3 linked regions of the Rattus norvegicus genome follow. The protein of the gene in region 1 binds, or shares a complex with, the protein of each later gene. Links are inferred from orthologs where the notes say so. Each region holds a gene or a part of one and is shown in the gene's direction. Other genes may lie near its edges.

Region 1 (3,600 bases):
ACTCCTTTCTATGAGGGAATGAGGGAGGGCTTTACTTTTCTGAGACAGGAAGCACGGGTGACACATAACCCAGTAACTTTGTGAAGTCATCTCAGCTCGGCACAGAAAAACAAGAGGCTTTGTCTTGCATGGAGTCCTGCAGAAGGATATACTTTCAGCACTGGAAGCCTTCAAAAGAACGCTGCCAGGAGAAGGGAAGGTGGGCAGCAGCCGCTGAGGTCTGCTTCCAGGCAGAAACTTACATTGTATCTCTTTTCTGCCCAAATCCTGACTTCTCCAAGCTCAGCACAGTCCCTCAAAGTGGCAGATTGTTGCTGTTTGGCTTGTTTTTCCTTTGTTTGGTTTTGGTTTGGTTTTGGATTTTTTGGTTTTGTGGTGCCCCCCCCCCCATTAGGGATATTTCTCCCTTTCTGGTGAGGTACATTTTCCATCAGTTAAGGCAGAGACAACGGACCTGTGCTGCCACCTTTTTTTTTAGAATTATTTATTTATTTTGTCTGAGTACACTGTAGCTGTCTCCGGACACACCAGAAGAGGGCACCAGATCCCCTTACAGATGGTTGTGAGCCACCATGTGATTGCTGGGAATTGAACTCAGAACCTCGGAAGAGCAGTCCACCTTTTTTTTTTTTTTAAAAGGTTCCAGGGTTGGGGATTTAGCTCAGTGGTAGAGCGCTTGCCTAGCAAGCACAAGGCCCTGGGTTTGGTCCTCAGCTCCAGAAAAAAAAAAAAAAAAAAAAAAAAAAAAAAGGTTCCTTAACACTTCGGGGTTTTTTTTGTTTGTTTGTTTTGTTTTTGTTTGTTTTTGTTGTTGTTGTTGTTTGTTTGTTTGTTTTTTCCAGATATAACAACAGGTTCTTTTTCCGGTTCCTCAAAGCACCACGAAACTGCCACTGGGTGGGACCAAGACAGAAGAGAATGTAAACATTGGGTTCCATCCCCTGGACTCAAGGGAAGACCCTTATTCAGAGAAGGGCTTGATGGCTGGAAGGGAACAAAATGAAAGAGGCTTTCTGACTCTCAGCATAGAGGCCTGAGCATACAGAGCAAGTGGGTTAGGAGAGAGCTGGACATGGATGGGAAGGAAACGGAGGATACTTCCTAACATATCCTCTTAAATAAACTGGATCGAAGACGCACTGTGGAACGGGGAAAGGACAGAGCACCCACCTCAGGCCAACCTGACCTTCTGTACATAATTACAACACAAGGATATCCAGGAGAGAAAACAGCCTTGGCCCCCACAAAGACAGTGGGGTGACAGGCAGGGCCCCAAGACAGGAACAGGAACCTAGCTCTAACATCTGAGGGAAGCCACTGGAGTGTAAGAATCTGCAACTGCTAACTGCCATTGCCATGAGTCACTGTGGTGACCAAAGGCAAATTAAGACAGCACCCCAGAAGAACTCCATAAGCGTGACAGAGACCCAAGCTGAGCCTAACTGGCCGAAAGAGTCTCCAGACTTGGTCACTGTTACCTGAGGAAAAGTAGCTGTCCCATGCACTGTGGCTGTCCCGGCCATGTAGGGAGCAGCAGCTGGCAAGGAGTCAGGGGAATCAAGCCTTAGAAAGAGGAAGAGTCTGCCAAGGGAGCTGGGAGAGCAGCCCTGCCAGGGCTGCTGTTGGCTGAGGGAGAGGAGGAGGGCCATGCCATCCAGACCCAACAAGAGGTCAAAGGTAAGCATCCTGCCGGGTCTCAGCTGCTGACCTGACCCCACCATCCTGGGGTGCTGGGGGGCCATCTGCCTTTCAACGCAAGGTTTCGGGCCTTGTCCCTTCTTCTCCAGCTTCTGCCCCTTAACACTTTGTTTACATCCAGGCCAAAACAAAAAAGTTTGGGGAGTTTCTAATTTCTTTATCTGCAGTGTGTCTAGCCTCAGCCTGTGGCGAATCGCTAACAGTAAGTATATCGTCTGGGGAAAAAGGCCAACTCTTGTCATGGTTGATGGTAATGTCACATGATGCCTGGGCAGAAAAGGAAACAGAAAGTAAGTTTGTCCTGTGAACTTCCTTGTTGGATTACAACACCCTCCTGAACCGGAAAGCAACACACACACACACACACACACACACACACACACACACACACACATCTCCAAGTTTATCGCTGTCAGAATCTTACCATAGGCAAACTCCATGACCTAGTAATTTCAGTCAGGAACGAAAGGCGGACACCAAAGAGTCTCTGGGTTACAGTAGAGCAGGAAGGAGAGGGAAGCAGCCTCATCTCAGTATAGGACCCCCAGGGAGAACAGGAGGCTGCAATTCAGTACACACCTCATAAATTCATCTCCGAAAAATTAGAATATCAAGTTTTAAATAAGAACATAGAGGGCTGGGGAGATGACTCAGTAGTTAGGAGCGTGTGCTGCTCTTCCAGAGGATGCAAGTTTAGTTCTCAATGACGGAGGCAGGTGGCCCACGACTGCCTCTAACTCCGATTCCAGTGTATCTGACACCCTCTTCTAACCTCATCTAAATAAATAACATAAAAATACAAGAAAATGGGGTTGGGGATTTAGCTCAGTGGTAGAGCACTTGCCTAGCAAGCACAAGGCCCTGGGTTCGGTCCCCAGCTCCGGAAAAAACAGAAAAAAAAAAAAAGTACAAGAAAATAAAAACCATCCACCCATGAACCCCTATTTGAGAACAACTCCTTAGAACATATTCCTACTTGATTACTTAGTTTTGTTTGAGACAGAATCTTACTACATAGACCAGGCTAGCCACAAATTCACCATCCTCCTGCCTCAGCCTCCCTTGTGCTAGGCCAATATATCTATCTCTTATTCAGATATTCTTTTCTTTTTCTTTTCTTTTTTTTTTTATTAACTTGAGTTTTTTCTTTTTTAAAAAAAAAAAGATTTATTTATTTTATATGAGTACACTGTCACTCTCTTCAGACACACTGTGGCACCAGATCCTATGACAGATGGTTGTGAGCCACCATGTGGTTCCTGGGAATTTAACTCAGGACCTCTGGAAGAGCAGTCAGTGCTCCTAACCTCTGAGCCATCTCTCCAGGCCCAGATATTTTTTTAAACAGGTCTATACATACTTCTTTGTTTCGTTTCTTTTCTATTGTTTGAGATAGTCCCTGTCTCACCCTGTAGTTCAGGCTGGCCTTGAATTTGGGAGTTATCAGAAGATGATCTCCAATTCCTCATCTTCTTGCCTAGATCTGCAAAGTGTTGTGGTTACAGGCACACGTTACCAAGCCCAGCTTTTTTACGTTTCTTTTATTTCCCCCAATAAAATTTAATGTTTACACTCAGCCAAAACGCTTATTAACACAGACTGTTAAATATTCATTAATCGATCTTCAGATACCACCACCGCCCCCTTTTGAGGCAAGGTCTCAGGTAGCCCAGGTTGACCTTAAACTCACTACGTAACTATTAATAACCTTAAACTGGCCCCCTGGCCACCACCATCAAAGAGCTGGGATGATAGGATTCCAGGGGTGTTCCACCACTCCTGGTTTACACACATGCTGGGATCCAACTCATGGCTTCTGGCAAGAGAGGAAACCCGCCAAATGATTTACATTCCCTACTCCCTGAATCTCGTTTCTGATACATTAAATTTTATCTTTATCTG
Region 2 (10,683 bases), on another chromosome or scaffold:
AAGGGTCAGGTTGGGAAGGTCAAGTTTCAGGTCAGGAAGGTCAAGGGTCAGGATTAGGTCACTGAGGGTCAGGTTGAAGAAAAAAATCAAGGATAAGGATTGGATGGTCTAGGGACAGATTTTTTTGTTGCTGTTGTTGTTGCAGATTTTCTTTTATATTTGTGCATCTTATTTTATCTGTACGAGTGCATTGCCTGCGTGTACACGCACCACATGCGTGCACTGCCTGCAGAGGTTAGAAGAGGGAATCGACCTGGCTGGAATCTGAGTTACAGATATAGCTGTGAGCCACCACGTAGGTACTGAGGCCTGGATCCTCTAGAAGAGCAGCTGATGCTCTAACCACTGGGCAAGGCCTCCAGCCTTCGGGTCCGATTTTACTGATACTCTTTAGGGAGGTGTTCTGGGAGGGAGGGTTGCTGCCAGGATTAAGCAGGGAGGGTCATCCAGCGGCTGGTCTTGACTGGTATGAGCCTGCCCGCCTCATTCATAGTGCCCGTAAGGTCTCCAGCCTTTGGCAGAAGAGTGAGCCATCCAAATCTTTAATGAAGTCAGTGGAACCTAAGGACCACGTATGCGAAGAGGGATTTTAATCCAGAAACATGGCTGTCCTGACAGGGGACAGGGGTTGAGTCTGTTGGAAGTCAGTGTGGCGAGCTCAGTACAGTAGAGCTGACTTCATTCCTGAGTTCACGCAGTTCAGGGGAGGTCAGCAGAGGCGGCTGAAGCCAGAGAATGAAAAAGAACCCGAAGATTAGAACAAATTGCCGTTGTTTGAGGCAAAGCAGTGAATTCAGTGAGAGAAGCCAGACTGAATAAGTCAGCTTGGAGAGGAGTTTTGAGTTGAACCAGCCAGCCAGAGTTCAAGAAGAACTAGTATGGATGAGCTTATTCCGCAGTAAGCCTCCGAGACAATTATATCTGGCAAATAAAATTTACATTTCTGCATAAGAGGTTTCTTCTAGCCATCGGTGAGGAGAGAGGAGCCTGGGTGGGGGGGTGGTTCAACTGAGAGGATTCTGGAAGTCTTCTGAGGGCTGAGATGCAGAAAGTCTGGAGGGAGGGACACACTGGAATTGCTCAGCCTGGACACAGGGGTCAGCCTGAATTAGTAATGACTCTTTGCGAACACTTTGTCCAACATGGGGGTTTTCGTCACTCAAAGAAGGCAGACATTATCCCAGCATTTAGGAAGCAGAAGGAGAAGAACTTCAAGTTCAAATCTATCATCCTAAACTACCAAACTCCCCACAAAACCCAAATTGAAAACCAACCATAGGGGGCATTTTCTAGCCATTGCTGAAGTGAAAGGAGCCTGGGGCTCAGGACTACGGGCCCTGCAGGGCTCTGGCAGCAGGGACAGGGTAGGAAGAGAGCGGGAGTCTCCACCATTCTCCCGGTGAGTCACTGAGGCAGGGACACACAGGTAAATCGCCTGCTGCAGGGATGTCAGGAGAGGCTCCTGTCAATCTACCACTGTGTCCATCAAGCAGGAGGAAGGATGCTGTGGCCAGGCAGCTCCTGGATCTTACCTTACACCCTCTTTCTCAGGCCCCCAGGAGGGGGTCTGGGCTCCTGTAGCAGCAGACACCCATGGAAGTTCAGTGCTGTTGATAAGAGACCTCCTCTGTCGCTGAGACAAAGAACTCAATGGGATATTTTTCCATAGCTTGTTCCGGAGTCGGACAAGAGTCCCCTGCGGTTATTTACCAGCAAAATCCGATCAACATGATCTGCCAACAAGGACCCAACAGCCTCATCTCTATTTCCAACTCAAAAGCCATCCAGATTGGCCATGGGAATGTTATGTCAAGACAGACAATCTGTGGTGACCCAGGTAAGAGCAGGGTCCTGAGGGGTTGGGGATTTAGCTCAGTGGTAGACCGCTTGCCTAGCAAGTGTAAGGCCCTGGGTCAGTCCTCAGCTGGGGGGTGGGGTGTCGGGGGGTGTGGTGGGAAGAGGAGGGTCCTGGATAAGGGGGGTACTGAAAGGGGACTTGGTCCTCCAAGGAGAAGGCAACTGCTCCATCTCCTTAGGCACTCCTTAGACTCAGCCTTCCTCAGAGAGACCCGTGGGCCACACCTCACCTGTACTCCCTGTAATTTTGCTCCTTCTCAAGGATATCAAACTTTTTTGCAAGAAAATAATTCACCTCCCCCACCCCTCTCTCAGCAGGACATGGTGAGAGGGTTACTGCAATTCTCTGCTCTGAGCACATTTCTGTCTCTCAAATTATGCCACAAAAAATTGGGGTCATCTTATATTCAGTGGCTTCCTATTTACCTATTTCTGTCTGTCTGTCTACCTATCTACCTAAGTGTGTGTGTGTGTGTGTGTGTGTGTGTGTGTGTGTTTACTGAAGCCCATTCAGAACCAGAGGATGACGTCAGGTGTCCTGTTCTGTCATACCTCATTCATCCAGGGTCTCTCACTGAACCTGGAGCAAGAATTGCAGACAGTAAGTCCCAGAGATCCTGTCTCAGTGTCCCCCCAGCCCTTGGGGTGCAAGTGCCTGCAGTCTGGCCTGGCCTTTTACATGGGTGCTAGGATCCAAGCCCAGGTCCTACACTTGCTGGGCAGTGCTCTTAGCATTCCCAGCCAACCCCCAGCCTCAGCATTTGGTTTTGACGCATGTTGGTACTGTCCAGAGAGTGTTTCCTCAGAATAAGCATATGGCTCAGAGGGTGTGGGGCCACCTCACACTCTGGCCCTGCCACCCACGCACTAGGGTATCAGCCCCAACCCAGATTCCCCCATGCTATCAGGAGAGATCTGCCTCACAGGAGGCTCGTTTCCCCAGCGTGACTCCCCTGGCTCTGATGGCCCTCCTGTCTGCCTATTTTACTTAGGGATGTTAAATGCATCGCCATTTCTCAGACTCAGGTGTATTCGCAAAGTTTCTGCGTTTCCTTTAATTTGAAAAATCATAAAAGCGAGGCTAAAAACACTTGAGAAATAAACACAGCCAGGACCCTTCTCAAGGCTGTGGAGGACTTGTCCGGCCTCGGCGGCCTTCCTTTCCATGGGAGACAAAGGTTGAGGAGACCCAGCAGGCAGGTGCTGTAATAGTACCCTGAGCCCCCGCTGAGAATACAGACTGCCTGACTCCAGCTGCCTCTGGTGCTCGAGCCTGAGAACAGAGCGATCTGGAGTTTCTAGAGAATCCTTGATTCTCTGCCCCGCCCAGGTCCCGGGACTCCTCACCACGCCCCTCTACCCGTGCTAGAGGATGCTGCTGCTCAGGACACGCCCCCTGGTACCCACGGAGCTCAACTCATCCACCTGAACAAGTCCATGCTCCGACGTGTGCAGCTCGGCCACGGCAACGAGATGAACCTCGAGAGGGATCCAGTGGAACACCCCATTTTCAGCTTTAGTAGTAGCCCCCCAGGTAAGGTGGCCTCTGTCGCCCCACATATCTAGAAAGGACCGGAAGCCAGAGTCTTTGCCAGAAGAGAACAATGATGGAAAACTCATTTCTACCCTGACCCGTTGGAGGGGTATCACTGAATAGTACCGAGCTTTTAGATCTGGCACTCGGGGTCCCCAGGCTCCCAGCACCCACGTGCAGCAAACCCCAGTCAGCGCCTACATATGGAGGCTGAGTGGGAGGAAGCCAGATCACAGGGGCGAGCAGAGGCCTGGATGGTGGTCTAGGGAAACAGAGAAGGAAGCAGGTAGTCGATGGTAATAACAGTGTCCTGGTGGTACAGTGACTCGAGGACCCTGCCAGGAACTGTGGATTCTTAGATGATGAGGTCTCGGGGGACAAACAGAGCCAGGGAGAAGTGCCTTCAGAAAGAAATTGGTCAGGGAGACAGGGCACAGCAGTGGGACCAGCAAACAGGACTCTGTGCTGGCCTTCTGTGACTGTTTCTTAGAGTGAAGGGAACCTACATGTAGGGGGAGGGAGGGAAGCCAGGCAAGGACATTCCTGACTTTTTGAGTGTGAAAGTGAAGAGGAGACATCAGGGTTCAGGGGGATGCTGAGGTGAAGCTGGGGCTGGGAGAGAAAAGGTATGAACCACAGTAGGACAGCATGAAATGGTATGGACCACAGTAGGACAGCATGAAATGGTACAGAACACAGTAGGACAGTATGAAATGGTACAGAACACAGTAGGACAGCATGAAATGGTACAGAACACAGTAGGAGAACATGAAATGGTATGGATCATAGTAGGAGAACATGAAATGGTACGGAACATAGTAGGACAGCATGAAATATTACGGACCATAGTAGGACAGCATGCCCTTCATCTGCCACCTGGGAACTGGCCACAGAGAAGATGGAAGCCTCCTGAGGTTCAGAAGATGATGCTGAGTCCTGAGTGGTTTTGCTGGGCTCAGGGTGGAGGGTAGGGGTGGGGGTGGGGGTGGCTTCCAGTCCAGTGGGGACCTGTGCCAGGACATGGAGGTAGAGTGGCTAAGCAGAGGCTATGGGCCAGATCTGCAAGGTCACTGGTGAGACTGAGCCGTGAGGATGGGTGTACACGCCAAGTCCCTCTGCAAATTGCTCGCTTCTCCTGGCTTCTCTCTTTGGTTTACTTGAAGAGTCAACCACCACTGCAGACCCAGAAACTGCATTCAACATGCAAACACCTGAGCCAGGCCCTCACCCTGAGGGAGGCACAACCCAGATAGTCCACATCAAATCCTGCTTGCTAGAGGACACGACCGTCGGCAACAACAACAAGATGACCATCCACCGTAGGTCAAAGGGTGGAGCCAAGGAGTCTGCAGACAGCCAAGAACTGAAAGAAGACACAGGTGAGCCTGGGCACAGGTGGCTGTGTGTGGCCCGCCCTCATTTCTTCATCTGCCCTCAAGGGTCAAGGCAACGGCCTGGTGGGAGGACACAGGGTCTGGAGCTCAGCGAGTGGACCAAAAGCCAGCGTGTAGCTCAGGCTATGGGAGGATGTAGGTGCAGGCGCTGAGGTAATAAAGGGCCACAGAGCGTTTCGAGCAGGACTGAAGCAGAGACCTTTTGGATCTGGAGTAAGAGAATCCTACACAGTCCTACCCGTGGATGGTTAGATTAACAAGGAGGGCCAGGATGTCTGGAAGTCCTGGTATCCGGTGAAGTGCTGTATGACTCACACAGTGAGAACAGGCCATGGGTGGGGTGTCGAGGGTCACAGTCACCAGGCCCAGGTAAGGAACCCTTTAGGGAGCCATCATGGTTGCTCCCAGAGAGGAAGTTGTGAGCCTTGCCATCAAGGAAGCTCTGTGGGAGATAAGGAGCCAACAAGTCCTGCAGAAGGGTTACGAGTGACAAAAAGGCAGGCGCCAAGACCCTGAGGGGAGAGGTGGAGCAGCACGGGGCGGGAGTCTGGGAAATGGGAGGGACCCAGGAGCCTAAAACCCGTAGTGGATGCCTGCCCAGTCTTTCAGAGCCTGAAGGCATGTGTGCAGTGTAGTATTTAAGTCTTCCTGGGCCAGCAAGATGGCTCCGTGGGTGCACGCACTTGCTGCCAAGTCTGAGGACCTGAGTTGCACTCCCCACGGCCCACACGGTGGAAGGAGAGAGCCCACCCATTGTCCTCTGACTTCAGAGACACACAGACAGGCAGAGAGACACACACAGACTCGTGAATGAATGAATGAATGAATGAATGAATGAATGAATCCATGTGTGTGGGGCGGGGGATTTTGGCAGTTTGGGAACAAACTGTCAAATTTGTGCTCCAAACTGTCCTATGGGAACACACGGGCAAGCAGAAACCCATCACAGTGGTTGCCAGATAAATACTTCTCAAGAGTCTGAAGGATGCCTTCCTCTTCTCCCTGTCCCCTAGGTGCAAGTTCTGAAGCCACGCCACCCAGAAGCTGCTTGCACACACCCAGCGACTCCACCCTGCTCACCTCTGAGCTGACAGCTATGGCTCTGGGAGATGGCAGCCCCCAGATCACAGAATCTATGCTTAGAGAGGATGAAGTGCAGGCCGCAGAAACCTGTCAGACGCAGGACTGAGGTGAGAGGAGGGAGGTGGCGAGGGCACAGGCACAGGTGGAGAGGCCTGTGGGGCTGTTTGTGGCTGCACACAGGGCCTGGACTAGATGTGTGTGTGTGTGTGTGTGTGTGTGTGTGTGTGTGTGTGTGTGTGTGTGTGTGACCCAGATGTGATATTCTCACACTGTATTGACAACTTGGTCCTGTCCTGGCTGCAAAGTCATCCACACACAGTCTCTAGATGGATTCGCTCGCTGCCTCATGAGGTTATTGGGCTGGGGTAGAGACTTTGGGAGGGCAAAGAAAATGAGTCAATGAAGACAATCAGTGCATTCAGTCCAGACCGGCTTTGATCCACCATGTCACCAAGGGTGACCTTGAATTTCTGATCTCCTGGCCTCCAATTCCTGAGTGCTGGGATCATAGGCATGGACCACCAAGTCCAGTTTATGAGATGCTAAGGAGGAAACTCCGTGTATACAGGACTTCATGCATACCTCACAAGCTCTACCTATGCAGGCTTCATGCATGCCTCACAGGCTCTACCCATGCAGGCTTCATGCATACCTTACAGGCTCTACCAATGTAGGGCTTCATGCATGCATGCCTCACAAGGCTCTACCCATGAAGTGCTTCATGTATGCATGCCTCACAAGGCTCTACCCATGAAGTGCTTCATGTATGCATGCCTCACAAAGCTCTACCCATGAAGTGCTTCATGTATGCCTCACAAGGCTCTACCCATGAAGTGCTTCATGCATGCCTCACAGGCTCTACCCATGCAGCCCCAGTTCCAGCCTGGGTCATGCCCCTTCAAGTCTCTCAGTCATCTCTTCCTGTCATGCCCTTCTGCCCTACCATAGGCCAGAAAGCAATGGAGCCACAAGACCATAGACCTCTCTGCCACCATGAGCCAAACCAACCTTTCCTGCCTCAAGATCAATGAATCAATCAATACATCGATCAGTCAACCATATGAGCCAGTTGTACCACTCCTGGGTGTTCACCGGAAGGGAAAAGTCAACACAGAGAGACGTCTGCATATCCATGCAGACGGTGGTCCTGTTCCCAGCAGATAAGAGATGGAACCAACCTTGCTGTCCCGCAGTAAAAGATGGGCGAATGTGGAGTAGCACACAGCCATGAAAAATACTGAGGTTGTCATTGGCTGGAAGAAGATGACACCAGAGACCACCACGTTAAGTGAATGAAAGCCATCTTAGAATGACAACGGTCACGTCTTCCTCTCTTTTGTGGCTCCTGGACTTTATGATAGATTCCTGGAATCATACACAGATGTGACATTAAAGTACACGTGACACCAGCCAGGGAATGAAGGGACCAACAGGAGGATGGGGGGAGAGAGAGGCAGGGTCATAGCCCAAGGGGGTAAAGTCCAAAGGAGGGGTGTCACAGCTGAGGGGGGTCATGGCCAAGGGGAGATCACAGCCAATTGGGGTCACAGGTAAGGGGGGGGTCACAGTTGAGGGGGGCAAGGCCGAGGAGGGGTCATGGGTGAGAAGGGATCACAGCCATGGGGTTCACGGTGGAAGGGAGATCATGGCCAAAGTGGTTCATGGCTGTGGGGGTATCACAGTCGTGGGGGTTCACGGCCGAATGAATGCGATGCACTTTCGTACAAAGGTGTGCCTCTGAAACTAAAGAGCGTCAGGCCACTCAGATAACGGATTTAAAGAATTAAACCAGGGGCGGGCGAGACGGCTCAGAAGTAAAGGCTCTTGCCTCCCAAGCCCCATGACCAGGGCAGCCTACTGCACCCAGTTGATGCCATACACAAAGCTGAGGGCCTCGTTAGTCTCCTCGGCCTTCCACTAGGAGGCTATGAGGCATCGCTTTAAGGAGAGTGCCTCACTAGACCCTGAACCTGCCATGGTGACCTTAGTTCTCCAGGATCCACATGCCGCGAACAACTTTCTTACCATCATAACCCACCCAGCTCAGGGTGCTTGATCATAGCAGCCTAAACAGGCAAGGCTCGCCTCAATCCTTGGCCCTGTAGCAGTGATTCGCTGGCCCATGTGTCAATCAACCAGCCTTGGCCAGTCAACAGACAGGAATCATTTACCGTATGCCAGATAGCTAACGTTTTCCAAAACCTTGGGGTTCTGAGTGCTGGGGGAAGGGTAATGGAGCTTTGAAATGAACGGGAAAAAAAAAAAAAGGAAGAATCAGCTAGCCAGGAAGGCAGCTCCCGAGTGGAACCAAGTGACTCTTAGTGTGTGCAGGTCATGTGCAGCCTCCCAGTGCCGCGTGCTTTCTCCCCCTTTGCTCTACCTCTCGTGTGAGGTGTAGGCTGTTGTACCTAGAAGCTATGTCCCCGGGTCCGTCTGTCTTGGTGTGTGTGTTGGTGCAGCTCACTCAGCACAGGGTCTCAGAGGGACTCTTGGTGTCCTCAGCCCAGCCATCCTAAGGCTCCCCAGCCTTAGCCATACCTAAGAAGGATCTTAGGCATCCATACAGCACTCCAGTGGGATAGCCTGTTCCTGCAGGGAGTGCTGGGATGTGGTGTCTGGTGATTCCAGCTACCCCTGAACCAGAGATTAGTCCTGCACTTGTCAAAAAACCCAGTGGTTCCCTTAGCGCTGGAGCTGGGACAGCCGGTGCAGCTCCTCTCTTCTCTCCCACACACCCAGAACCTTCTGTTCACCAAAAGCTTCTGAGCTCAGAAAGGCCTTTGAAACCTCTGGCCACCTTCATCCATTCCGTGCACTATTCTGTTTCCACCAACACTGCTCTCTTCCAGCACCACCTACCCATCATACTCTCTCTAGCCCCACCCACCCTGCACGCTCTCTTCCGGCCCCACCCACCCAGTACGTTCACTTTCTGGCCCCACCCATCCTGCGTACTCTCTCTGGCCCCACCCACCCTGCAGGCTCTCTCTCCATCCTTGTCTACTCTCCTCCAGCCAGGCCTACCACTCACCTCTACAGATGAGCAGACTGGCTTGCTTGTTGATGACAGAAAGCTGGATTGTGTGTGCCTGCACAAGGGATGAGCTGTAGATTGTTCCAGGCTTAAGTCCTGCTTCAGGAATATTTGCATCCAGGGGCTCTGGCTGACCCAACCCCCGCCTCCTTTCATTCTGCTTCTCCCGTACTAGTGAAGATGGCCCTTGGCCCCAGTATGACTGTCAGTGCATATGACAGCTCTGATTTCCTTCTCCACCCAGCTGAAAGCCACCCCCTAACTAGTCGTGGGCCAGAGCAATAAGACACTTCCTTGATTGGCCTCTAGTGTTAAAAGGCTACCCCCAGAGCCAGAGAGAAGCTGTCACAGAAACTGTCAGAGAAGTCAAGGCTGTGGGAAGGTGGAGGGCAGGGATGGGCCAAGGGTGTATGGGCAGATCTCTGAAGCATTCAGGAAAGAGTTGCTACGCAGACAAGAGGCTCAGGAGACACTTGGGTGGAGAAACCATGGCCCGTAGCCTGGTTTTCTCACTCTCAATCCCCTGGGGCCTCTGGGGACTTTGCAGGCTGCATTGGGCCCTGAGGCTAGAGAGGGAACCGTGGCAACCAAGAGCTGGATGTCAATGGCACACCTCAGAGGGGATGGTTGCAATGAATAATTGGCCCGCAGCCTCTGAGCCTCAGAGCAGCGCTGGGGAGCTGAGGACTCTAAGTTCTGGTCTCTGAGGTCAGGTGAGGAAGTCTGAGACCTGATCGGACTCTAAGGAAGGCAACAGAGATAAGGGGGCACTTGGGGATGAAAGAAAGTCAAGAGCAAAGGAAACCGAGATAGAAAGTCGGTGGACAAAGGAGTCAAGGCCAGAGGTTGTTTGTACAAGTCTTAGCCATAAGCCAGCTTACCCGCAAATGTGTTCCCTGGAAGCTGGGCCGTGGGGCTCGCTGTGGACAGGGATCCTGTACCACGGCACAGTCTTCTTGGTCACTGTGGTCACAGACAGTCTGGAAAGCATGTTGCCTTGGGGCATCCCATTGTCAACGAAAGCTAAGTGCAGGTGGCTGGTCTCATCTTCCTTCTCCACCCAGCTGAAAGCCAGAGGCAGATCTCAGAGCCAGCCTGAGGTCCACAGTGAAGCCAGCCCAGTGTCTATGGGGAACAAACTGAGCTCCTGAGCTTGCCCAAGCAGAGGCCTTGCTGCCCAGCGCCGGTTCCCCCTCTGCAATTAATTTCTCATAAATGCGCTGATAAAGTGCTGCGCGGCTAATGGAGGCTGGAGGTGAAGGGCGAAGCCATCTCTCAGGAGAGGAAATTAACGAGGCGCCATTAAAAGCAAGAAGTGATTGAGTCAGCGATCCTCAGCCCACCTGCCCCTCCCTCAGGGTGAGGAGAGAATTTGGCCTTTGGTTGGGGGTGTGCCATCCACTCAGCCTGGGCACTGAAGGGGCCTTTCACCTGTGCTTTGGGTGGAAACAGCTAACACGGGAAGCTGAGCGTAGGGAAGGGAACGGGGAGTTCATCCGGGATCCTGTTGCTTTGGGGAAATGGGTAAAATTAGGTATCCCAGAGGTCGTAGGATGCAGGATTTCAAGAATGGCTGTATCCAGGCACCCAGGCCTTCTTTATCAACAGCTCGCCTTCCGTGTGACTGCCAGCCACCTACGGCAGAGTCCCGCCTGTTAGCAGAGACTTCAAATAGAAAAATACCAGGAAAATGTCCCACGGCGAATTCTGATTGGTTGAGAACAGGTCACATGCTGATTCTTGAACCAATCATGATTCCTGTGACGCCAAATTCACTCCCT
Region 3 (10,683 bases), on another chromosome or scaffold:
CTCAACTGCCACTTCCTAAAGAGGACGCTCGGTCTGCTGTTGGCGGTGGCCCGTGAGCTAGCTTTGAATTCTTGTTTCTCTCTCAGCAGTTCTTCTGATTGATTTACTCATGCTGAGTTCACCCAGGTCTATGCCATACCAGTAGACACACAGGCCAAAATATGACGTCCCGGTAGGGCACAAGTCCCTACTTAGTGGTAAACCACGTCAAATGATCTTGATAATTTGTGCTTGATGTTTGCCTGGTAACACTAACTTGAAGATAGCTGATGCCCAGGCCTAAGGACCACCAAGGGCAACACTAACCAGGGTTACACCCGAGTCTCACGGGCAGAGAAAACTCTGTAATGTGAGTAGGGGGTGTCCTTTGCCTACTTCCAGGCTGGTGACTTGAAGCTGTTGTACTAAAGCCTGTAGGCAGTTGTTTAATTCCATTGCGTGTTGGGAGGCTTTTCCTGTGAAGTGGGGCTCGGGTCTAAAAGGCTTTTCTTTCTGTTTGTTGCTACTTCCCACTGCAGTAAGCAGAATTCTGAGCTAGATTTGGGTCCTATCACCTGTGGGTGGAGACCTTTTTGCTCATCCTTCTGTCCAACCCAGATCCAAGGAGGAGAACTAAAGGAAGTGAGCAGACTGGCTTCCACAGTTCCAGTCAGTCTAACCCATAGTCTAGTCTAAGGGCTTATAGAATTCTTCCAGGGAGTGATATTTCACTGTGCTAGCATGGTACTGAGTTTAAAGTCTAAGGCTTGGGATGAGTTATTTCTCCTCCTCCTCTTCCTCCTCCTCCTCCTCCTCCTCCTCTTCCTCTTCCTCCTCCTCTTCCTCCTCCTCTTCCTCCTCCTCTTCTTCTTCCTCCCCTCCTTCCTCCTCTTCCTCCTCTTCTTCCTCTTCCTCCTCCCCCTTCCTTCTCCCCCTCCTCCTCCTACTATTCTTCTTCTTCCTCTTCTTCTTCTTCTTCTTCTTCTTCTTCTTCTTCTTCTTCTTCTTCTTCTTCTTCTTCTTCTTCTTCTTCTTCTTCTTCTTCTTCTTCCTCCCTCCTCCCTCCTCCTTCTCCTTCTCCTCCTCCTCATCCTCCTTCTCTTTCTTCTCCTCTCCCCCCTCCACTTTGTGAACTTGGAGGAGTGTCAACATGGACAAATCTTTCCCTTCCATTTCTTCATTGTGTCTTTTCTTACTATCCAATGAAACCAAGACACAAAGGTCTCTCACATGGCTTCTTTAGGTATTAGAAGGGCAGGTTGGGCTCTGTACAGCCAGTTAAAATTTGTGTGCCTGTGGTAAGATGGCTGCTAGGGGACCTTATTTAGCTGCCATCTTGTTCTGTGATCTTTCAACTGGGCTTCTCAGTCAAACCAAAGGTACCCTGAAAACAGCCCAGAAGATGCCTAGAGCTGTGTTTTTAGTTAGAGAAGCTTTGCTTACTCAGTCAGTGAATGTTTGTTGAATAGTTGTTGTATCACAGATGGTATTTTCAGAACTAGGACTGCAGAAAAGAACAATGGAGTCCTTGCCCACAAACTACTTTCACTCTAGCACAGAATGTGAACCAAAACACAAACAAAAACTACTGGATTGCTAAGTAGACAAGTAGAGAGGTCCTGGAAAGTTTGTGGTAACAGAGGAACAGGGTCAGCTCTAGTTTTATAAAATACATGCAGGGAAAGTCAAACAGAAACCTACAGAGAGGTTGGGTTTCAGTTATTCTGACACACTGTGAAGAGAGATAAATGGTTTTGACAGGGGAAAATGATGGCAATTTGTGATGTTATTATTAATATTTCGAGTTACAAATGAGCATGTAAGGAATGGTTGTTGTGAAATAACAGTAACGTTAGAATTTTGTTGTTTTGTTTTGTGGTTTGTTTTGTTTTTAATCCAAAGGTATCATTGCACATTCTGTGAATAATACAAAGGCAGTTGGCAAAAGAGAGAGCAGAGGGCTTGGATTCAGAAGACTTGAGGTCAGGCCATCTAGTCATCCTTTATAAGCTGTGTGGCATCAAGTAAGTGATTCTGCCTCGAATCCCAATTTAACCTACAACTGCTACGGAGCTGGTGTTTTCCAGGTATGCCATACAGGACAACTTCATGTCCTGGTAACACACCTCCTAGATAGAAAGTCATTCTTGCCAATATGTTCTTTTTCCGTCCCATCTCTCAGACTCCCTGTGCAAGCACTTTGAATATACACTGTGCGCGGTATAGCATGTGCTCTCAGATTGCAGCTGCCACTCTTGATGGCCATGAAGCTGCCAATCAGATCGGAGTGCATTTCCTTCGAGTATCTCCACTCTCTAACCAACCCCTCACTGGTTGTGTTTCATGGTGCTTTCAGTTGAACCCCAAGCTTCCTGTATAGTAGTCAAGGGCTCTACTGCCAAGATTCATTTTGGTCCCAACAAATACTTTACAACTTTTTAAGCAGACTTACTATGTAGTAAAATTGTATGTAAATAAGATAATCACCTTCAGAGAAATTGGTGTTTTAATTTTTCGTATAAAATGTGATTGAATGTGACTGTTTTTATTGAAGAAGGGTGTAGGAAGATTCAAATTTCACACAGACCAGTAGAACACAGGCTGAGGTGGTTAGCGCATTGCACATGCTAAGCCAGAGGAGACTTCCTTCCTCCCTGGTATCAAAAGGACTGGTGCCCTGGTGCAGATTTATCCCAATGCTATTTCAGGTGTATTTCTTAAGTTGGAAAAGATGCTTATGGTAGTTTTGAGCTTTGAGTATGAGCACCACCCATGTAAACAGAGCCACTCTGATCTTTTCTTTACCTGCCCAGTTTTTACCAGGGCAGTGATAAGGTGTCATTAATAACTCTACAGAGCTCATTGACATTGCCCGCACTGATGGGAAACCTCCGGGTCTTTGGCCAGTTGCTTTGCTCTTATGATCCACATCTTAGCCATATGTCTTCTACATTATTCTCTCAAAAGTAACATTATTAGCAATGTCAATGATATTCTCCTACATTGTCATCACATACTGAGGCACGTTGCTTGCCCATCTCCTTTCACTGCTTTTCACCTAGACAGCTGATAATTTCTCACAGATATGTGTTTTTTTCATGTATTCTGCAAAGAAGGTGTTTATTAATTATGGACACTCAAGGTGGTACAGTCCCAGCTTGGACCTTCTAAGTTGATGTTTGCATTATTTGTATTTTGATGAAGAAATTTAGAATATGCATTCAATGAAATGGAATACAATCTCACCTCTCTAACATGTCCTTTATGTACATTGTTCAGGAAGTTTTTCTTTTTTCTCAATGTAAAGTGAAGAAAACAATTCCAGTGTTTCTCAATTGTATTGCTATTCCTATTTAGGTATTTTATCTGGGTGAGTATTTACTTTTCTGTGATTTAAGGCAAAGATCAATAATCATTCCTCACATAGTTTTTGAATACTTTTCATTGCTTGTCATTCTTTCTTACAGATTTATTCATGTTGTTTCTGTGACACGTTTCTTTGTATGTGTGGTTTTGATTTAACTCTGACATTTTTCTGCTTTAATATCTGATTTTCTTAATTATTACATCTTTATAATAAGATGTAATATAAGTATTATATAATATAATATAAGTAATATAAGTATAATATAAGATGCCTATAAGTATTTATAGGCAGTAAGCATAATGTTTCTTGGTGAATATTTTTTAATCATTTTGTATATCTTTGTCCTTATCTTTTCACGAACTTTAGAATGATCCTTAGACATTTTCTCTGAGATTTTGCATGTAGTTTGTATATTAATTGACAAAGCTGACATCTTCATTTTATTGAATGTTCCCATTCAGAATATCACATACATCCTAAATTAATAGAGAGATAAGCTAAAGAACAGGGGAAAGAATCCGTAAATAGACAAACTCAGATATGGGAAAGTGAATTTTTGGCAGAAGAAGAAGTCATAGTCTTTTCCATGTGATCATGGAAGAATGTTTGCTATTGGAACAAGAGGATCTTTTTATATTTTTATACCATATACAAAAGAATCCAGAATAGGTCATAGATATACAAGTTAAACCTTTAAAATCTCTAGAGAAGAGCTCAGGAGTTAGCTCTTCTGATCTTGATTGGAAAAGAGGGGACACCCAAAATGTGGTCTTCAAGCCAATGAACTGGTAAATGTATTTTGAGAATATATATGTTAAGGTTTTAAATTGTATGTCTGAAGTATACATACTATGTCACATACCCTATGCTTTAGAGGGGACAGGAACATAGACCCTAAGAATCCCTAGGTTATCACATGCCCTTTGAAAGAATCCTTTCCTGGCACTAGTGACCATCTTGCATAGTGATTCACCTTTCATGTTTCACCTAAGGCTCTCTTCCTGCTCTGTCATCTTGGGTATTTCCTGTTACCTATTCACCCTGTGTATCCTGAGTGGAGACTTACATAGAATGCTGTAATCTTACAGTCGAGGTTTCTTTTTAGGCTGATCCTGAGTCTGGGAGATGGAGAGTGACTTTCGGGAAATGCTGTTGTTGACCGGCCTGGACCACATCACGGAGGAGGAACTGAAACGGTTCAAGTACTTGGCCCTGACTGAGTTTAACATTCCCAGGAAGACACTGAACATTGCAGACAGGACGGAGTTAGCTGACCAACTAATTCAAAGTGCAGGAGCAGCATCTGCGGTGGCGAAAGCCATTAGTATTTTTCAGAAGTTGAATTATATGGATATTGCAAAGGCTCTTGAAGAGAAAAAGAAAGAAGGTGTGTAGAGTGCCCCCTCCCCCAATGAGATGAGAGAAATGAAGCCCTTGTACACTGCATGGTAGGAAATTAATTTGCTTAATCACCAGGCCCTTCACCTCCCTGCTCGGGAGTCACTAAACAGCATGTTACAAATTCCTTAGCCAGTAGTGAGGGCTGCCACCGTTGTCTCTTTCTCCACCAAACTATTGGTAGAAACTGTGGAAATGGGATGTCGGTGTTAATGTCCAAGGTCTCATTACACAGTAGTTAAGGTTTTCACACTTTGCTGAAGGCCTGTCTGTAACATTAAGAAAGCACATCCTTGAACAGACAAACCAGAGACTCCTTTAACTTTGCCATGGATTATCCACTTCTGTACTGAGCCATCCTGCCATGGTCCCAGTCAGTATTTTTTTTAGGAAGCCTTTGTGCTTCTACTCCATGGAATTTTTATTCCCTTATTTATCTCCAGTATAGATGCCGTTACAAATTTTCAGGACACAAAGCACGTGTTTGCATTCAATAAGCCACTTCCGGATTTCCACAGAATCATACGCAGGTTGTTAAGTTCCCAGTCGCTCCCTAAGAACAAGTGGTGTTTCCTTTGTGTTCAAATGACTAATAAGAGCCAACAAAAGAATACTTCATCAAGGGAATCCTTAAAATGAGAGATTCCAAAGGCAGTAGTTTAGGGACACTGTAATACAGAAGCTGCAAAATGTTACCTGATGGCAGAGTTGATGTGTGTGATGCAGGAGGAGAGGCTTGGCTTCCCGAGGGTTATTTCTACACCATTGAAGTGATGAAGTAAGGGCAAAATCACATACAGATGTGAGATGTTATATGACTTTGAGGAACTTAGAGCGAGGCCTGATTAATGATCATTTTAAGGGTGGCTGACATCGGATGGAAAGTGTAGTTCTTACATTTGACCACATGGTGACAGTAAGAGCACACCATTGCTCCCAGTCACTTCTGTTCATCTACTGGCAACCCAACTGAATAATTCTGATAGCATCGTTTAGTTCCCCCCCTCCCCCCAATTACTTTTTATTTGTTTTTTTTTTTCTGGATAAGATGATATAAAACACCGTTACTTAAAAATTTCCTTCAGTTTACTGTTGTAATGATGGTGGAATTTTGATTAGCTCAAAATGATCTACTTTGAGACGTGGTTGAAAACTCAGGGGTGAGTGCTGATCTAGAAGTCAGTTTAGTTTCTTTGCAGCTTAGAAGCACTGCCTGAAGTCATCTGCAAGCTTGCCTCAACCACCGCCGTGTCAGTGATGCCAGTGGCTGTTATGGTAGAGCACTGATCTCTGGGCTATTTCCGAGAAGTTTCACCTCGTATTTATTCTAGTAAATGTTCAGCATGTCATGACCTTGCCTCATGAAAAGTGGGGGCTATCTGAACAACTTAAACAATGTCATCAAAGAATGATAACAGGCTTGAGCAAGAGAATGGGTAAGAAAATTATGAGGACAAATAAGTATGACAAAGTCAAGCAAATCTAAGCAAATTCTCTAATTATAATGATCTTAGATAGGTGAAAAGTATGCATCGAATTATTTGATAAAATGAGAGGTATCTAGCGGAAGATGACAGTTTTCCAAATGCTTCCTCACAAAACTGTGAATGACCTTTATAAAAAGGTCAGTGTGATTGATAGGTTGGAATAGCATGACATGTTTATTCCCTTGAGCTTCCTTAACTCTTTCTCCTCTCCTGTGCTGTCAATATAGATTAGATATTCTTATGTGCACATTTATCAAAAAAATAAAGAAAAAATTTATAGAACTAACCATTAGAAGATCAGTTGAACTTCTTGCAAACATATTTAATCATTTTGGTGTTAGTTATACACCATCATCATATCCTAAGTTTATGTACCATAACCGCACAACAGAGTTAGAAATGGGACAAAAATATCTAGTAAGTTTATAGTTTTGCATTGGGTTTCATTCAGAGCTTTCTTGGGCACATGCGATTCACAGACCAAAGATTAGACATACCTACAAGAACAAATGTCTCTATAGGATTCCTGAGCAAGACTCAAATCCTTTCTGTTGTCTGAAATAGAGTGACAGAATAGTTATTATGTGACCACTGTTAGCCATATACATTAAATTATTTGATTTCTAACAAAATTAAATCTGTGCACATTCTGGAATGGTTCAGATTCTGTGAGAAACCACATCTAAAGAGGTTCTTATCACACCTTTACCTATAAGTTCCTTAAGTAATTGAACACCGACCATATTAAGAGATGGTCACTTAAAAATCAGGACAAGAAGTTTCTTTTCGGAATAAAATAAAGGGTTAGTGTCTGCACATTTGAGGAAGAGAAAGCAGTAACTTATTCTTAGTCCTTGTTCTATTTCTTCTTCATTCTCTCTTCACTCACCTACCACCCTATTCTTTAACCCAGGCTGCGCTTTGCATATGTTGGCTAGTATCAATTACAAGGAGATACCTTGTTTCAGGCTCTCCGATTGGACCGGGTGGCTGCTTGTATTCTGTGGTCAAATAAAAATATTAACTACATTGTATGGTTTAATAAGATCACTAACTGGACTTAGCAGTGAGGTGGAGCTGCTGGCTAGAGTCTTTGATCCTCTTTAATTAACTAAGTTTGCAGGATAAAGGTCCTAAATGGGCAGCATTGCTACTTAGATTCTCCATTTGTGTATGGCCGAAGATTGGGGTCTGAGGATGGGAAGGATGCTGCTGCTGGGACACTTGGTATGGGCATGACCTGAGACGACCACACACACACACACACACACACACACACACACACACACACCCCACACCAGCCCACCCCACACACCCATGTATAAAATAAAATCGTAGACTTTTATCCCAGTTTGGCTCACGCTGAACCGCAGGCTCGTCACTCTCATCACTTCTCGGTCACTAGGTTTGGGGAGACCAGGTACTCTACTCCAAAGAAATATTGGACACACTTGCCTTTAGCAAGAAGCCCCCCCCCCTTTTTTTCAAACACTGGGGCTGAGTGGTGTGATTTTCTCAATAGGCTGTGGCTAGCAATGTCAGATGGTTCCTTTCAAAGACATTTGTGTGCATGAGATTGCCTATAACCTTCAGGAAGCCTGATATGTTGCTCTGAGGCTGGGTGGGGTCAGCATTCCACAGTGGAGGAAAGGCAGATTTGGATGCTGTGCTCTACACACATGCATATGTGTATACCCTTACCCAGCAAGTCTCAGGTCTTTTACAGAGTAGTAAGACCATAGGAAAGTTGACTATGATTCAAAGCCAACAGATCTGTTGCATGAGGCTCTTAAAGGTGCTATTGGATATTCTGTTTGGGTGACTCCACAGTAAGACCCACTTCATTTTGTTTATGTCTAACTTATCCCTGTTATTCTAGTCTTGCCAGTGTATTCAATATTTCTTAAGGGATGAGGTGAGAATAAACCTTCTACAATGCCTACATTATAGTGGGGTGCCACATGGGCACTCCCTGCCCTTCATCCTCACCATCGAAGTTGTAGAACCATGGGGTTCTCTCTATACAGTACTGTCCCATTTTGGGGGGGAGATAATGTGGTTAAAAATGAAAACATTCCACTCAATCTCTAGAGGAACTTTTCTCAGTCTTATGGTTCTGTTGCATTCAGAGATTTTCCCAATGTGCCTGTCTGTGGATAGTCATGTGTTGTATTCCTGTGAGGACCTGAAGATGGGAAACTTCTAATCCATCACCCTGCCACTGTCTCCTTTCTAATTTTCTTCTTGAAAGTTAATGGTATTTTAATGATATTTTAATTAAAATTAGAATTCTAATGAGAATTCTAATTCTCAGCTATGCTTATCATAGATTTTAATGTGTCTTTTTCTTGTTTCTTCTTTTTTTCTTCTTTTTCTTCTTTTTTCTTTCTTTTCTCCTTCTCCTCTGCCTCTTCCTCCTCCTCCTCCTTCTTCAGCTGAAAGTAAATATGTGACAAATACAAAGAAGAGAGGAACACAGAAAGTAGAAAATAGAAGTCAAGCTAAAAACTGTTCTGTTGCTTCTGCCACCTGCAGTGACAAAGACTTCAAGGGACACTCTGCTACAGAAGTCTGTCCTCAAGTTAAGGTAGGCTAGTGCCACTCTTATCAGAGCATTTTGTCATCACTATCCCCTCATCCACCACATAAAGTCTTCTGCTCTTTGTCTCAGAACATACAAACCAAGAAAACAAGGCTATTATAGGAAAGATATGTCTGCATTACAAAAAGAAAAGTCACTCAAATTTATCAGTGTCCATGCCCAGGAAGCTCCTAATTTCTGCCATGCTCTGGACATAATAACATGTTGCTATGTTAACCTCTATTTGAAGAAAACTCTGCCGGGACCTTATACAGTGAGTAATTTTCAGGGTGCTCTTATCACTAGTTCTTTTGAGAAGGTTTAGGATGAGAGAGAACGGGGAGAGTTCTAGTTCAATAGATTGCAGCAAAGAGTTCAACCTATCCATGGGAGACTTGGGGGCTAAGAATGCCCTTCAGGATTGTCATGATGTGGGTAGAAAAGACAGTTCCTTTAGTCACGATGTGCCTGCTCTTATTGTGGTGAAATAAATGGCTCTTTGTAGCAGAGGGAATAAAACTGGAAGACAGTCCTTGTCCCTTAGTCCTAATAAAGTAGCATGTACCACAAAATCCACTAAGCATCTTCAATTTCATTTTCTGTAATGAAAATGTCACGTAACTTTACAGAGGAGTCAGCTTAGGGTATGGGCACCATTCTATGTAGAGCACCCAACCATTTCTTCTGTGTTTGGCTCAGAAATTTCCAGAATTGTCAAGAAAACAATACAGTACCCAAGTTTAAATGTTACAATTGAACAAGTAGACATAAAAATACATATTGTATAGTCTCTGAAAAATCCAAATAAAATGCCTAGGACTGAAGACATATTCTAAAGTAGTTCTCAGTGCGGGAGCTCTGTGCACACCACTTATTGAAGAGCCAAATAAATGCTCAGCATTGGAGGGAAAACTATGCTGTCATAGAATCACAAGGAGATAGAATCTAATTCAGCCCCTCACAATGATTCGGGTGTCTGACACAGTCTTTTCATAGCAAAGAAGGGTTCTGATTCAGGAATTTTGTCTCCAGAGTCAGTGCACTGCCCCATCTGAATACTGAGCGCAGAGCATTCCTTTGATGTCCTTTCAATCTAGGTAGTTTCAAGTCTCTACTCTCTTCCTAACGTCTCCATTTTCCCTTCAGCTCAGCTTCTTTGTTTCTGGGGCCTTCCTGAGAATGAAGGCTGCCTGAGTGGATCCATAGCTAACATCTTCTTTCTCTTGTCACAGCCTCAGAAGAAACAGATGGTGGCAGAACAGGAAGCCATCAGAGAAGATTTACAGCAAGATTCACTAGTAGTCATGGTGCTGAAAGCTATGAATCCCTTTGAGTGTGAGACCCAGGAAGGAAAACAAAAGATATTCCATGCCACAGTGGCCACAGAGACAGAATTTTTCTTTGTAAAAGTTTTAAATGCACAGTTTAAAGATAAATTTATTCCAAAGAGAACAATTCAAATATCAAATTATCTCCGTCACAGTTACTTTGTGGAGGTCACCAGTTCCTCAGTTGTGGTTGATGTTGAATCTAGCCACAAAGTCTGCGTTCCTAATAACATTATGAAGAAAGCTGGAGAAACTCCTAAGATTAGTAAACTGAAAACTCTGCCGTGCGGGACAATTGTGAATGGCTTATTTAAAGTCCAGAAGGTAAGTTCCTATATGCAATTTTATATTGATCAGTAAGAATAATATAACATATAACACCTATTGGAACTTTAGAAATTAACTTTCAATGTTTTCACCCTAAATAAAAGATAAAACAATAAAAATAAATTTAAGAGTTGATTTTAAATAGTTTTAACAATTTTTTTTACACAAAGTTAAGGGTTTGTAGGGTGGTAATTTGCCAAAACTTGTGTACAAAGC

What was found.
Region 2: Ripk3 (region 1) and Zbp1 share a complex: the UniProt entries of both Homo sapiens proteins name them as parts of the AIM2 PANoptosome complex. The link is inferred for Rattus norvegicus from reciprocal best matches to the Homo sapiens genes RIPK3 and ZBP1.
Region 3: Ripk3 (region 1) and Aim2 share a complex: the UniProt entries of both Homo sapiens proteins name them as parts of the AIM2 PANoptosome complex. The link is inferred for Rattus norvegicus from reciprocal best matches to the Homo sapiens genes RIPK3 and AIM2.

What each region holds. Positions count from the first base shown.
Region 1 is NC_086033.1:33,259,847-33,263,446, reverse strand, and holds the start of Ripk3 (receptor-interacting serine/threonine-protein kinase 3), read left to right. Parts: upstream 1-1,421; 5' UTR 1,422-1,677; intron 1,678-2,122; exon of another isoform or gene 2,123-2,258; intron 2,259-3,600. UniProt on the Homo sapiens protein: Serine/threonine-protein kinase that activates necroptosis and apoptosis, two parallel forms of cell death. Necroptosis, a programmed cell death process in response to death-inducing TNF-alpha family members, is triggered by RIPK3 following activation by ZBP1.
Region 2 is NC_086021.1:182,408,259-182,418,941, reverse strand, and holds the end of Zbp1 (Z-DNA-binding protein 1), read left to right. Parts: intron 1-1,669; coding exon 1,670-1,837; intron 1,838-3,187; coding exon 3,188-3,391; intron 3,392-4,554; coding exon 4,555-4,770; intron 4,771-5,798; coding exon 5,799-5,974; 3' UTR 5,975-5,975; intron 5,976-6,816; 3' UTR 6,817-7,277; downstream 7,278-10,683.
Region 3 is NC_086031.1:88,425,904-88,436,586, forward strand, and holds part of Aim2 (interferon-inducible protein AIM2), read left to right. Parts: intron 1-1,881; 5' UTR 1,882-2,066; intron 2,067-4,451; 5' UTR 4,452-4,471; coding exon 4,472-4,733; intron 4,734-8,666; coding exon 8,667-8,818; intron 8,819-8,902; exon of another isoform or gene 8,903-8,942; coding exon of another isoform or gene 8,943-9,086; intron 9,087-10,044; coding exon 10,045-10,464; intron 10,465-10,683. UniProt on the Homo sapiens protein: Sensor component of the AIM2 inflammasome, which mediates inflammasome activation in response to the presence of double-stranded DNA (dsDNA) in the cytosol, leading to subsequent pyroptosis.